Arabidopsis thaliana: one gene and its partners. The protein of the gene in region 1 interacts with the protein of each later gene in a pairwise test. Each region holds a gene or a part of one and is shown in the gene's direction. Other genes may lie near its edges. The genes, in order: LBD4, ERF10 and AT2G31220.

Region 1 (4,236 bases):
AATTCATTTTGGAATTTTCTTTCCTTTTTCTTTTTGTTGACATGAAATTTTGGAGTCTTCTTCTATCGCCAATTACGACTAAAAAAACGATTTTATATATATCAACATAGCTCTAACAAGAACATGATAATCGCAAATATACATAGATTTGCCTATTTGTACACAAGCAAAGTTAGTTTTAATACTCAGTATATTACATCTCATGAAAAGAATTTACAGTTTTTTCTATTAAAGCTGTGGGAGTTTTCTTCTAAAATGTTTTTTTTTGTCGTCCTTGTAAAATGTTCTACATTCGTCATTTTCAGGCTATCTTTGATTTCGAAAGCTGTGGGCGTTTTCTTTTTTTAATTTTTTTAATTTTTTTTTTTTTTTGTCTTTTTCTACGAAAATAAAATAGCGTGCACTGTATTGTTTCTTTCAACTTTATTTTTTGACTAGTGAAAGACTAGACATTTTGTTGCCCTGCCCCTATATTTTTTGTGTTTATTTTAAGGTTGTTTTTTCTCTTTTTATAATGACCGTAAAATGAGTTTTTACAAAATCTGCTTCAAATATGTAATGAAAACCTTGATAATATGTAAATGTACTAAAAACAAAATCTTGATATGGGTACATGTGAAAATAGTATATTTCTGTTCTAAGAATATACTGTTTTATGTTCTAAAATATCAACAAATAGATATCTTTGCATTTTTTTTTATACATCAATATTAGTATTACCTACATTGTCTAAGAGATGTAACCCAACTTATGTCGCAACTAGAACTACATCTCAGAAATCACCGAGCCGAGAGAAAATTGTAAGAGTCCTCGACCAGCAAAACGTAGGAACATCAACTCAAAGCAGTCGAGAATAAGAACCACTGACTTGCATCAAAACAGAAGATCTAACCACACCACACAGAATCCGAAAAGAAGACATCCACCATCGTTTAAACTTTCAACCCTTGACCCAACCACCGGTGATAAAGACTTGTCCATTATAGTTTACTAAAGTTTATGATCAAACTTAAAATATCTGTTGTTAGATTGATACCTCTAATTCCTTTGAATTGCTTCTTAGATTTCCACTTTACCCTTCCACGATTTTTAAGCAATGGAAAATTAAGTTTCATTTGTTTCAGATTTTAATATTAATCCCCTTCTATGCAAATTGAGGGACCACGTAGAAAGTTGTGAGAATCTCAATACACAAAAGATATAGAAACAATGATTACATGCACAAGCACGAGGCCATAAATTTCCTTATCCTATACACATTTTCAATAAAGATGTAACATTCCAAACAGAAAACCCTCTTGTAGCTCACTCTACAAAAAAAAGAGTATAGAATTCCAATATTAAAGTTTATAGGTCGACTATTTCAAAACCAATTGCTATAAAGTAAATTGATTAATATTTTTATACTCTCTTCGATTTATAATATAAGTTGTTTTGGACCAATTTTTTTGTTTTACAATTAAATTGTTTTTAAGTTTTTATGCAAACTATATATTTATTTTAATATTTTATAATTATTTATATTATGCAGTCTCTTTTGTGATTGGTTGAACTTTTTAAAAGTAAATATTCTTAATCTTCGTACTTTTAGGTAAAACAACTTATATTGTGAAACGGAGGGAGTATATCATTTACAATTTCTCTTTATTTAGTTTTGTGGTGATTCCGAATATTAATTACAACTTGTACCATTTAATTCAACCATATTCGAAGAAAACATTAAAGGCAAAACAAATTAAGGGGAAAAAGAAATCAAAAGTTAAAAAAAAAAATTAAGACCAATGAGAATAGATAAGGGGTAAAAGACAAAAAGAGAATATAAAAAAAACAAATAGCATTTGGCGCCAAAAGTAAAACTAAAATGGTCATGTCACGTGATGTTAATTTTTGCTCTACGACCAAAGCAAAACAAACCTAAAGTTTTCCAAATCTCTGGGTCCCACTCTCAGATGTGCTGACTTTTATTTTTTTTACTTTTGTCTTAAATCTTTGGAAATTTTCAGTTTTAATTTAATTTAATTCATCTCTCTTTCTCACTCTATAAATCCCCACAGATCCGTCACACTTCACCTAGAGACCCTCCCACAGCTTTCTCGATAACTGACAATCCAACGGTTGAGATTCAGTTCTTCTAGATAAATTCACATATCCAAAGGACACGTGGCGGCGAGAGATGAAAGAAAGTAGCCGGAAGCAAGGAGCTGCGTCACCGTGTGCTGCGTGTAAGCTTTTGCGGCGGCGGTGCGCTCAAGATTGCGTTTTCTCGCCGTATTTTCCGGCCGATGAGCCTCAGAAATTTGCTAATGTTCATAGAGTGTTCGGTGCTAGCAACGTCAACAAGATGCTTCAGGTTTCTTTCTTCTTGTTCTTCTTAAGAATATCTAAAACGTGCTTACTCATATGTTGGGTTAGGTTTAATTAGGATGATTTTCTTGTTTCTTATTTTAGATGAGACATTACTATCATTTCCATAACTTTTTATTGACAACTACCACATGGGCCGACCCGTTTATATTATAAGTTTAGGGATTTAAAAACAAAATTGTTGAATTTTAAGAATTTAGGAATATGTTACATTTATTAGCTGATGTTGAATTTTAACCATATTAACTTTTGTTAGCTAATGTTAATGATATGATTTACATTTCTTAGCTAGCTGATGTAGAGTCTACATTTGAGATGGATTATATAAATTTTATATAGTCTTGCGAGATTAATTGGTCTAGTGGCTGACAAAATGTTTTAAAAACTCAACAGGAATTACCAATCCACCAGCGAGGGGACGCTGTGAGCAGCATGGTTTACGAGGCTAATGCAAGAGTGCGGGATCCGGTTTACGGTTGCGTTGGGGCAATTTCGTCCCTCCAGCAACAGATAGATGTGTTGCAAGCTCAGCTAGCTCTAGCTCAAGCTGAGGTGGTGCATCTACGTGTACGCCAGTCGACTAATTTCCCAGGGCACGGACTATGCCCGGATAGTCCGAGTAGCAGCGGGTCACCGTCTTCGAAGCAAGTGAGTCCACAGGACAACAAGGGCATGTTTAGCCATATGGACATTGTGGATGAAGCCAGTTTGGGAGAGTCTATGTGGTCTTGCTAGTCAATAATGCTCTCTTTCTGCTACTGCAATTTCCTCTTCCTTTTTTGGGAAATTTCGGGATTATTATATATTAAATTTAGGGGTAGGATATGAAAATGCTCTGTTTTGACTACAGAGTGAAATTATTAACATGATATAGATACATAAAAATACTAAATATATTTATATATTATAAATCTCTCTCTATATATTTATTAGTATTTGTAACTTTGTAATTCCGGGGTATTTGGGATTTGGTGTATGTGTAGGACCTTTGGATCATGATCCGGTAGGGTTATTTTGATCATTTCCAACCGAGGAGGGATCTTTGTTATTGACCTAATGTAAATTTGTGAGATATATTATTTATCTATATCTATATACAATTATGATCATGTAACCCATGGTGTGTGCTTGACTCTGTGAGCATATTATCGTGTAATGGTCATCTTTGATACTAGCTAAGTCTAGCTTAGCAATTAGCACTAAGCACTTGTATGGGCCTGAATTTTTATTATGCAAACTTATGGCCCATTTGTCTTTATTTTTTGGTTTCCTTGCAAACATTTGCCATTTGATAGTCGCTGATAGAATCGCTCGCATATGAAGGAAACAGAAAGACCGGACCGGAGCATGTGCTTGTGGTAAGAAATTTACAGTGAGCTTAAGAAGAAACACAAGTAATTTAGTCTATTATAGTTCAAGAGCTTCTCCTGCATTCATGCAAATGCAAGAGTGGTAAAATAGCATTATACTAAGTAAATTTGGTTATGCTCCTGTGCGTTATATCAGGATATTCCCTTCAAGCAATTGAGCTTCACATAGCAATCACTAGACCGCAAAATCACAATCTGTCAATCACCATTTTAGCCATAATTCTTTCTACTTGCGCAATCCAAATTTTATAAGGTTTTCGACAATGCATTGTTTTTCAATAAGTACAATGGAAAACAAAGAGATTAGAGAGAGTAACACAAAAGCAGAAAACAAGTTCCCTTTTTAAACATCCTTAGCAATGAGATCACCATTGAGAAACTCTCTGTAGGCAGCAACGGGCCAAATGAAACCACGGAAGATGATCCGACTAGCCAAAGGAACATCGATGATGATCTCTTTCATCGCGGGTTTCTTCTCACCACTAATAGCTATTAAGTAGCT
Region 2 (3,533 bases), about 10 Mb from region 1:
AGTCAAGAAGAGTATGAGCCTTAGAAGGAAATTGTATTTGAGAAAACAAAACACTTTTTTGGAGCAATTAATTATATTGTGCAATCTCCATTTACTTGTCTTTTATGAAAAGTGAAAGTAAAAACACTTTTAAGTTATACAAATCAAAGCTGTGAGTTATATTATGTTTATGCTAAAATTTTTTAACGTTTATCTTAATCTCAATTTATGACCATGATTAATACCAGCGACGAGTATGTGTTAAAAATAGAATCAAAAGACCAATAATACCAATTTAAGAGAACTATGCAAGACCAAAACTACACCATCATAATCTCAAAAGTAATCATAACTGAATATAATCTCAGTGACCTAGAGAGTTCTCTGAAAATTTAAATTAAATAATAACGAAGAGAAGTAGAGACAGACACCGGTTGTAGTCATTAAGCAGTAATTACTTCATACTCGACCAGAGAGAGATTGTTGGCCCGGTTAACCTCGAACGAAACAGGACCGGTTATTTCAATGCGTCCCCATCTGTCAACAGCCATTCTCATAGTGTCCTTGAACAAGTCGATCTTCGCATTCCTCAGTATAACTGTTGCTCCAGTCTTCATTAGATCAACTGCATTTGCAACCCCAAAAGAACATCATTAATTAGTACCATACATATTCTCACATATTGAATAGGAAGTTGTATAAATGTCAAACACAAACACACTAATCAAAGCTTAGAGATTAATGAAGTGGAACATATTGAACACTAATCAAAGCTTAGACATATATAAATAGATATACTCTGTTCATCAATAAACTAAACTATAAGCAAAATTATCTATAAAAAAAGTTAAACTTTATCAAAATCTCTGAAGTATAAATGTTTTAGATCTTCACAAACATAGAGATTCCAATCAAGGCATATATAAACCTAGAAACAGAGAAATTATGGAAAGATTGAACGCAATTTCGAGTGAAAACGATAGAGAAACGATTACGAAACCCTAACCAAGAGAACTTATATATGTAAATAATTAAGATCCTTACCTTGGTCGTTGCGAGCGGTGAAAAGAATGCATCCAGTATCGTCACCAATTAGGCACTCAGCGATACGAGGAGATGAAATTGGCTGCTGCGTCAACGAACTTTTACGAATCGCCGGTTTAACGGGATTCGATTCAAGGACTTTGACGATCAGAGTATGGCCGCTGGTTCCTGGTTTGAGCTGATCCACCTTCACAAACACTGGTTTACGCTTCGGCGCAGTCGTCGCGTTAGTATTCGCCGTCGTCGACATAGTGTCGTAATTTGAATCTCCTTAGGGTTTTTCAAAATAATTGACAACTTTGACGTGATGAAGAGTCGCGCTGGTAGATTAGGGTTTAGATTCTTCACAATGGTATTTAAATGAGAAAATTAGAAACAAATCTTACTCTGGATTATTATCTAAATTACTGGATTATAAATTACCACTAATTCATTTTTTGCGATTTTTAAAACGGTATACATTTTATTGGCGCGTTCAAAATTTGAAACTTAAACTCATTATATTTTCATATTATGCTTAATATTAGTCGAATTTTCTTTTTTTGACATCCAATATTAGTCTAAGCAGATTGTGGAGTAATAATAAATCATCAAATTTTGTTATAATGTAGCAATGTATCATCTACTCAATTTTTATGTATTATAACTTTTGTATCAAAGAATACAATTTTAGATTCATCAAGCTTTCTCGAAGTATATATTCGACATGGATAATTTCTAAGTACTTGTTTATCAGATTCTCAGATAAAATATGAAAAAGCCCAAAGATAATAACCTGTTAAAGCCCAAGCAACAAATGGCGCAAAACTGCGAGACGCAAGAACGGGGACGTTTAGGTTAAAACATAAAAAGGCGTCATAAAACTGTTTTCTCTTTAAGGCGGCGCGTCAGTCAATCCACGTGGACATTTCTTTCCACATTTTTGTCACTTTGTCCTTTTGTGGGATTACGTCACTTCTATAAAACAATAGTTTTGTCCTTTATCTAAATTATTCTCCCCCAACCAAAATATGACCACAGAAAAAGAGAATGTCACTACGGCCGTGGCCGTGAAAGACGGCGGAGAAAAGAGTAAGGAAGTGAGTGACAAGGGCGTAAAGAAGAGAAAGAATGTAACTAAGGCCCTGGCCGTGAATGACGGCGGAGAAAAGAGTAAGGAAGTGCGTTACAGGGGTGTAAGGAGGAGACCATGGGGGAGATATGCTGCGGAGATCCGTGATCCGGTAAAGAAAAAACGGGTCTGGCTCGGGTCCTTCAACACGGGGGAGGAAGCCGCCAGAGCCTACGACTCCGCTGCCATAAGGTTTCGAGGATCGAAAGCTACTACTAACTTCCCTCTAATCGGATACTATGGGATTTCTTCGGCGACGCCGGTGAACAACAACCTTTCCGAGACGGTGAGTGATGGAAATGCCAACCTCCCTCTCGTTGGAGACGATGGGAATGCTTTGGCTTCTCCGGTGAACAACACCCTTTCCGAAACGGCGCGTGATGGAACACTTCCATCGGATTGTCACGACATGTTATCTCCGGGGGTGGCTGAAGCGGTTGCTGGATTTTTCTTAGATCTGCCTGAAGTTATTGCGTTGAAAGAGGAGCTTGATCGAGTTTGTCCTGACCAGTTTGAGTCCATTGATATGGGGTTGACTATTGGTCCTCAAACCGCCGTGGAAGAGCCTGAGACTTCCTCCGCCGTGGATTGTAAGCTGCGAATGGAACCGGATCTTGACCTCAACGCAAGTCCCTAAAGATTGATCTGATGTTGTTGTCCTTGAATAAGTTTGTTATCTTGTCGCTCTTCTGATTGTCTGTACTTCTATTGGTTGATTCGTGCTTTTGGAGGACAAAACAAACATTTTTTTATGTATTAAAAAAAGGTAATTGAACTATTATCGTATCATAACCTAGCCAATGGATTTCGTGTTGACGTGGGGGATAAAGAAGTATTGGTGTCAGGTGGGTCGCACGTGTGTTTTTCGCCGTCCACAGTGACACGTGGAATACAACTTATCTCACTACTTACCTTTTTTACTCACGCGCTCTCTTTTACGGTGATATACACTAGCTCCTTGAATTAGTTATAACTTATAAGAGCAAAGGTAAATATCAAATGAGAGAAAGAAAAACATCTGTGACAATGATTGTATTTAATACCCCAGTAACAAACTGATCCAAAATCAAGATTCTCTTGATAAACAGAAATATGTATGTTTCATCACTTTGTTTATAGCAATGAGTATAGAGTCCACCAAAAGGAGTATATATGTTCATAGATCCCATACATGCATGTATGTGCTCATATATTATAATATTATGTAGTCAACACGTCTCGATATGTACATCTGTCGATGACATACACATGCCTCATATGAAAGCTACTAGCTTTCGTGTGGTGTCCAAAGAAGAACAATTGGAGAACTTGTCGCACCTTTTTATATACAAAAAAGGATGTGACATATAACTTTAGGGAGACGGTACTAACACAACTGTATTCTCGTCTACCAGGCACC
Region 3 (4,481 bases), on another chromosome or scaffold:
TACTGTTTAGTTAGGATGGGGACAGTCGCAGTGTACCGTGTACGAGAGAGGTAGGTGACCAGAATTTTTTCAGTTTCTGTCGAATTTCAAGAATAACCCTAATTCTTTTTTTTACTAAATCAAATATAAAGTATATTATTATCCCATTCTTGGATGTGGGACCTACTTCCACTACTTCTCAAACAACCCGCTCTCTTTGCTATAAACAGAAATCGCATGACCCAACCGCTCAACAAGGAAACTTATACAATTAGTTTGATCCAAAATTGTTATTTATTTAGAAAAATTTAATAGAAAAGATTGAAATATAAACATATATGAATGAAATGAATTATTTATATTCAATACAGTCCATGTTATTTTTTTACCAGATTCTCTATTATACATCTCTTCAAGTATCTAAATATTTTTCTTATGGATGAATTTTTATTTTATCATTTTATGTTATCGATTATACACAAAGAAAGGAAGTGTTAAATTAGATTAATTAAGTGAGTTGTCGATATACATTACAGGAAGTGTTTGAGATAGAAACTATTCTATGATGGTTTAGTTGTTGAACACAGTTTACTTATAAAATTAGAAAACCCAGGGGTTTAAGTATTTATACTTCTATTTAACTATGATATACATACATAAGTTTTATCAATGCCATGTACAACGTATAGATGAATCAAACTAGATGATGTGATAAATAATTCCATGATTGTTGATGATAAGGTAGTTAATCATCCATAAATTAAAACTGAACACTTTTTATATACAAAACATATCCATTTAAACCGTGCATTAGTATTTTTGGTTCTTGTATTAAGTCGAAGAGTTTTTTCAATTCGAGTATATAATAAAATACGATTGCATAAACATAACACATATTAAACATGAGATTAATTATAGAAGTAAAACATACATCTAAGACAAGAAAATAGTTTCGCGTTAAAATACTTTTATCAATTACAATTTTGTATTTGGGATATTTTTATCCAAATTTTACTAAAATGAAAGGAAAAGGGTAGAAATGGGAAAGAGCAAACGGGGCTACTTGGTTTGTCGGTGTGAGTTAGTGGAGCCCATATCATATTGGTCAGAGAGAAGATCGTATTTGCTGATAATGACGGAAATACCCCTAAAGTCGTTGAAAAGACCTGAGAGATTCGGCAAGGGACCCATCTGTTGATTCTTCTAACCAACCTTTATGTTTGGCCACAATGATAAATCACATGCTCCAACCAAAACAGCCCCCAAAAAAAACCCAATTTATATTTTCTTAAAAGTGAGCTTATAACGTAAAAGAAATATATACAATGCTAATTTTCTTACAACTGGTTAAGTGTTAAAAGATATGTTTAGGATCATATTGGTATTTGGTAATCAGGTTTCAACATTTGAAATGATTAATCAAAAAATAAGTTGCATAGAAAATGATTTAAAAAATGACTATAAACAAGAAGTAATTTCACAAACCATGTAACAAATCAAAACCTTAATAAATCATGCATCAAAGTTGGATTAGAAACATAGCTTAATGGATTATATACAACATTTTCGTTTAAATTAGACACCTAGAATATACATGTTATCCAATAATTTAACTTTGCCATCTTTTTACCCTTATTGTATTGTGTGTCTCCATCTACAAATGTCCGTATATTTCAAACACAGAGAGGGAGAGAGAGACTCTTGTTTAAAAAACTTACTTCTTCTCCTGAAAATTGAGAAGACAGACGTAGAGAAGAATTAATTGTAACAAAGGTTCTAATTTTCCCAGCTCTGATTACTCATTATCTTACATCTCTTTCTATCTATTGTCAAATTCAAACCCTTAACCCAATGTTTAATCTTTTGGATCCTAACAAACATTTCTATGGTTTCGTTTCCAAAATTATAAAAGAGCTAACTTTTTTTGAAATTAGTTTCAAATTTTTGGTTTTTCTTCTTCTTAAAGATTGTTGAATGTTACTTTTGATTTGCAGGTGTTAAAGAATCATCTAGAGTACTCGTTGAACCATTTCCATGGAAGGTAACAAAATTTCATTATTTGGTCTAATTTCTCATGAAAGTTGCTACCTTTTTCGTTCTGGAAGATCTAAATTAGTGTTTGAGTTACAAACGCAGAAGAAAGAGAAAGCCTTTACGAGGAAATGGGTTGTTTCGATCCCAACACTCCAGCAGAAGTTACGGTGGAGAGTAGCTTCTCTCAAGCCGAACCACCACCACCACCACCGCAAGTTCTGGTTGCCGGAAGCACAAGCAACAGCAACTGCAGTGTTGAGGTAGAAGAGCTCTCTGAATTCCATCTCAGCCCACAAGATTGTCCTCAAGCTTCTTCAACACCTCTCCAGTTTCACATCAATCCTCCTCCTCCACCACCTCCTCCTTGTGATCAACTCCACAACAATTTGATTCACCAAATGGCTTCACATCAACAACAACACTCTAATTGGGATAATGGGTATCAGGATTTTGTGAATTTGGGACCTAACTCTGCAACAACTCCTGATTTGCTTAGTCTCTTACACTTGCCTAGATGCTCATTGCCTCCTAATCATCATCCTTCCTCTATGCTACCTACCTCTTTCTCAGACATTATGTCTTCTTCTTCTGCTGCTGCTGTTATGTACGACCCTCTCTTCCATTTGAATTTCCCTATGCAGCCTAGAGATCAGAACCAGCTAAGAAACGGCTCTTGTTTACTTGGAGTTGAAGATCAAATTCAGATGGATGCTAATGGAGGAATGAATGTTTTGTACTTTGAAGGAGCAAACAACAACAATGGTGGATTTGAGAATGAGATTCTTGAGTTTAACAATGGAGTTACTCGTAAAGGAAGAGGATCAAGAAAGTCGAGAACTTCCCCTACAGAACGTGAGAGACGAGTTCACTTCAATGATCGTTTCTTCGACTTAAAGAACCTCATTCCAAATCCCACAAAGGTATATACTTTACTTTGCTTTGATTTCAATTCATGTTGTTAATGTGTATGAGGAGACTATGAAATGAGAGACATTGTTGGTTTAATCTCTGTAGATTGATAGAGCATCGATAGTTGGAGAGGCGATAGATTACATCAAAGAGCTTTTAAGGACAATAGAGGAGTTTAAGATGCTTGTGGAGAAGAAGAGATGTGGGAGATTCAGGAGCAAGAAGAGAGCTAGAGTTGGTGAAGGAGGAGGAGGAGAAGATCAAGAAGAAGAAGAAGACACTGTGAATTACAAGCCACAGAGCGAAGTAGACCAGTCTTGCTTCAACAAGAACAACAACAACTCACTGAGATGTTCATGGCTTAAGAGGAAATCGAAAGTCACTGAGGTCGATGTACGTATAATCGATGATGAAGTAACCATCAAGCTTGTTCAGAAGAAGAAGATTAACTGTTTGTTGTTCACCACCAAAGTTCTTGATCAGCTTCAGCTAGATCTTCACCATGTTGCAGGTGGACAGATTGGTGAACATTACAGCTTCTTGTTCAACACTAAGGTAATGAAAATGTCTCACTAATATAGTTCTGTTATTAACTCCAAACCAATAAACTAATCTTTTTCAATTTGGTTTGAGGCAGATTTGTGAAGGATCTTGTGTGTATGCAAGTGGAATTGCAGACACATTGATGGAGGTCGTGGAGAAGCAGTACATGGAAGCTGTTCCTAGCAACGGCTACTAGATTCCAGACACACTTATGGAGTAGTTTATTGCTTTTTAATAACTTTTGTGATACCCCTCTAATGACTGATTAAGTTATTAATCACTTTGGTAATTTTCAAGTTTATTTAGCTAGAGTTAAAGTTAGAGCTAGAGCTGAGGCTCTTTGTCTGGATTTTGTCTAACTCTATATATTTCTTCTAGCTTTATCGGTTTCGTTTTTCGACCACATTTTAATCTCTTGCGTTTTTTTTTTTAACAAATGCTCTTGCTCATATTTACCTTACGTTTCATATTGCTCTTAATGGGCCAGTGGGCCGTGTCGTTTGAAAAGTTTGAGAATAATCATCAGTCCGGAATTTATAAACCATTGCTTCTTTATCGATTCTGGTTTTCTAACTAGAAATTAAGAAACTTGCTTACATTTTCAGTGGTTCTTTTTACAATGAGCCAATTTTAATCTGGTTCTTTTTACGATTTTTCATTTACCGTTGAATTACGTGTTTAAGCTTTTATTTAATAATGTGTACTATCAATTAGGCTTTGACAAAACAAAAAATGTACTATCAATTAGTGAATGTTAATTTGTTTTAGATCTAAAACAAAAAAACAAGGATGTGATTTTGTCTCAACGCTCTTGTCTTTGCTCGTTGTCTGTCACCCTTTTTGCTTATTCCCTATTTCGAACACGTTCATGTGTATTTTTTTGTTTTGAAGTCTATTTTCACATTTAAAATAAAGTATGTCTGTGAAAAGCTTATGACGTGTATCACAATTTTAACTTACTAATTCTGGACAAGCATATCACTTGATAATTATATATAGCTTTTCACATATTCACA

The links.
Region 2: the proteins of LBD4 (region 1) and ERF10 interact in a two-hybrid assay, tested with the Arabidopsis thaliana proteins (one large-scale study listed by BioGRID).
Region 3: the proteins of LBD4 (region 1) and AT2G31220 interact in a two-hybrid assay, tested with the Arabidopsis thaliana proteins (one large-scale study listed by BioGRID).

Annotation. Positions count from the first base shown.
Region 1 is NC_003070.9:11,210,934-11,215,169, forward strand, and holds LBD4 (LOB domain-containing protein 4), read left to right. Parts: upstream 1-2,024; 5' UTR 2,025-2,173; coding exon 2,174-2,350; intron 2,351-2,757; coding exon 2,758-3,099; 3' UTR 3,100-3,634; downstream 3,635-4,236. Other genes in the region: PSAF (photosystem I subunit F), read right to left, coding at 4,078-4,236.
Region 2 is NC_003070.9:956,499-960,031, reverse strand, and holds ERF10 (ERF domain protein 10), read left to right. Parts: upstream 1-1,648; 5' UTR 1,649-2,033; coding exon 2,034-2,771; 3' UTR 2,772-2,928; downstream 2,929-3,533. Other genes in the region: AT1G03820 (E6-like protein), read left to right, coding at 1-24; AT1G03810 (Nucleic acid-binding, OB-fold-like protein), read right to left, coding at 423-604, 1,024-1,273.
Region 3 is NC_003071.7:13,301,001-13,305,481, forward strand, and holds AT2G31220 (basic helix-loop-helix (bHLH) DNA-binding superfamily protein), read left to right. Parts: upstream 1-1,665; 5' UTR 1,666-1,752; intron 1,753-1,973; 5' UTR 1,974-2,013; coding exon 2,014-2,020; intron 2,021-2,072; exon of another isoform or gene 2,073-2,115; coding exon 2,116-2,933; intron 2,934-3,027; coding exon 3,028-3,477; intron 3,478-3,559; coding exon 3,560-3,661; 3' UTR 3,662-3,869; downstream 3,870-4,481.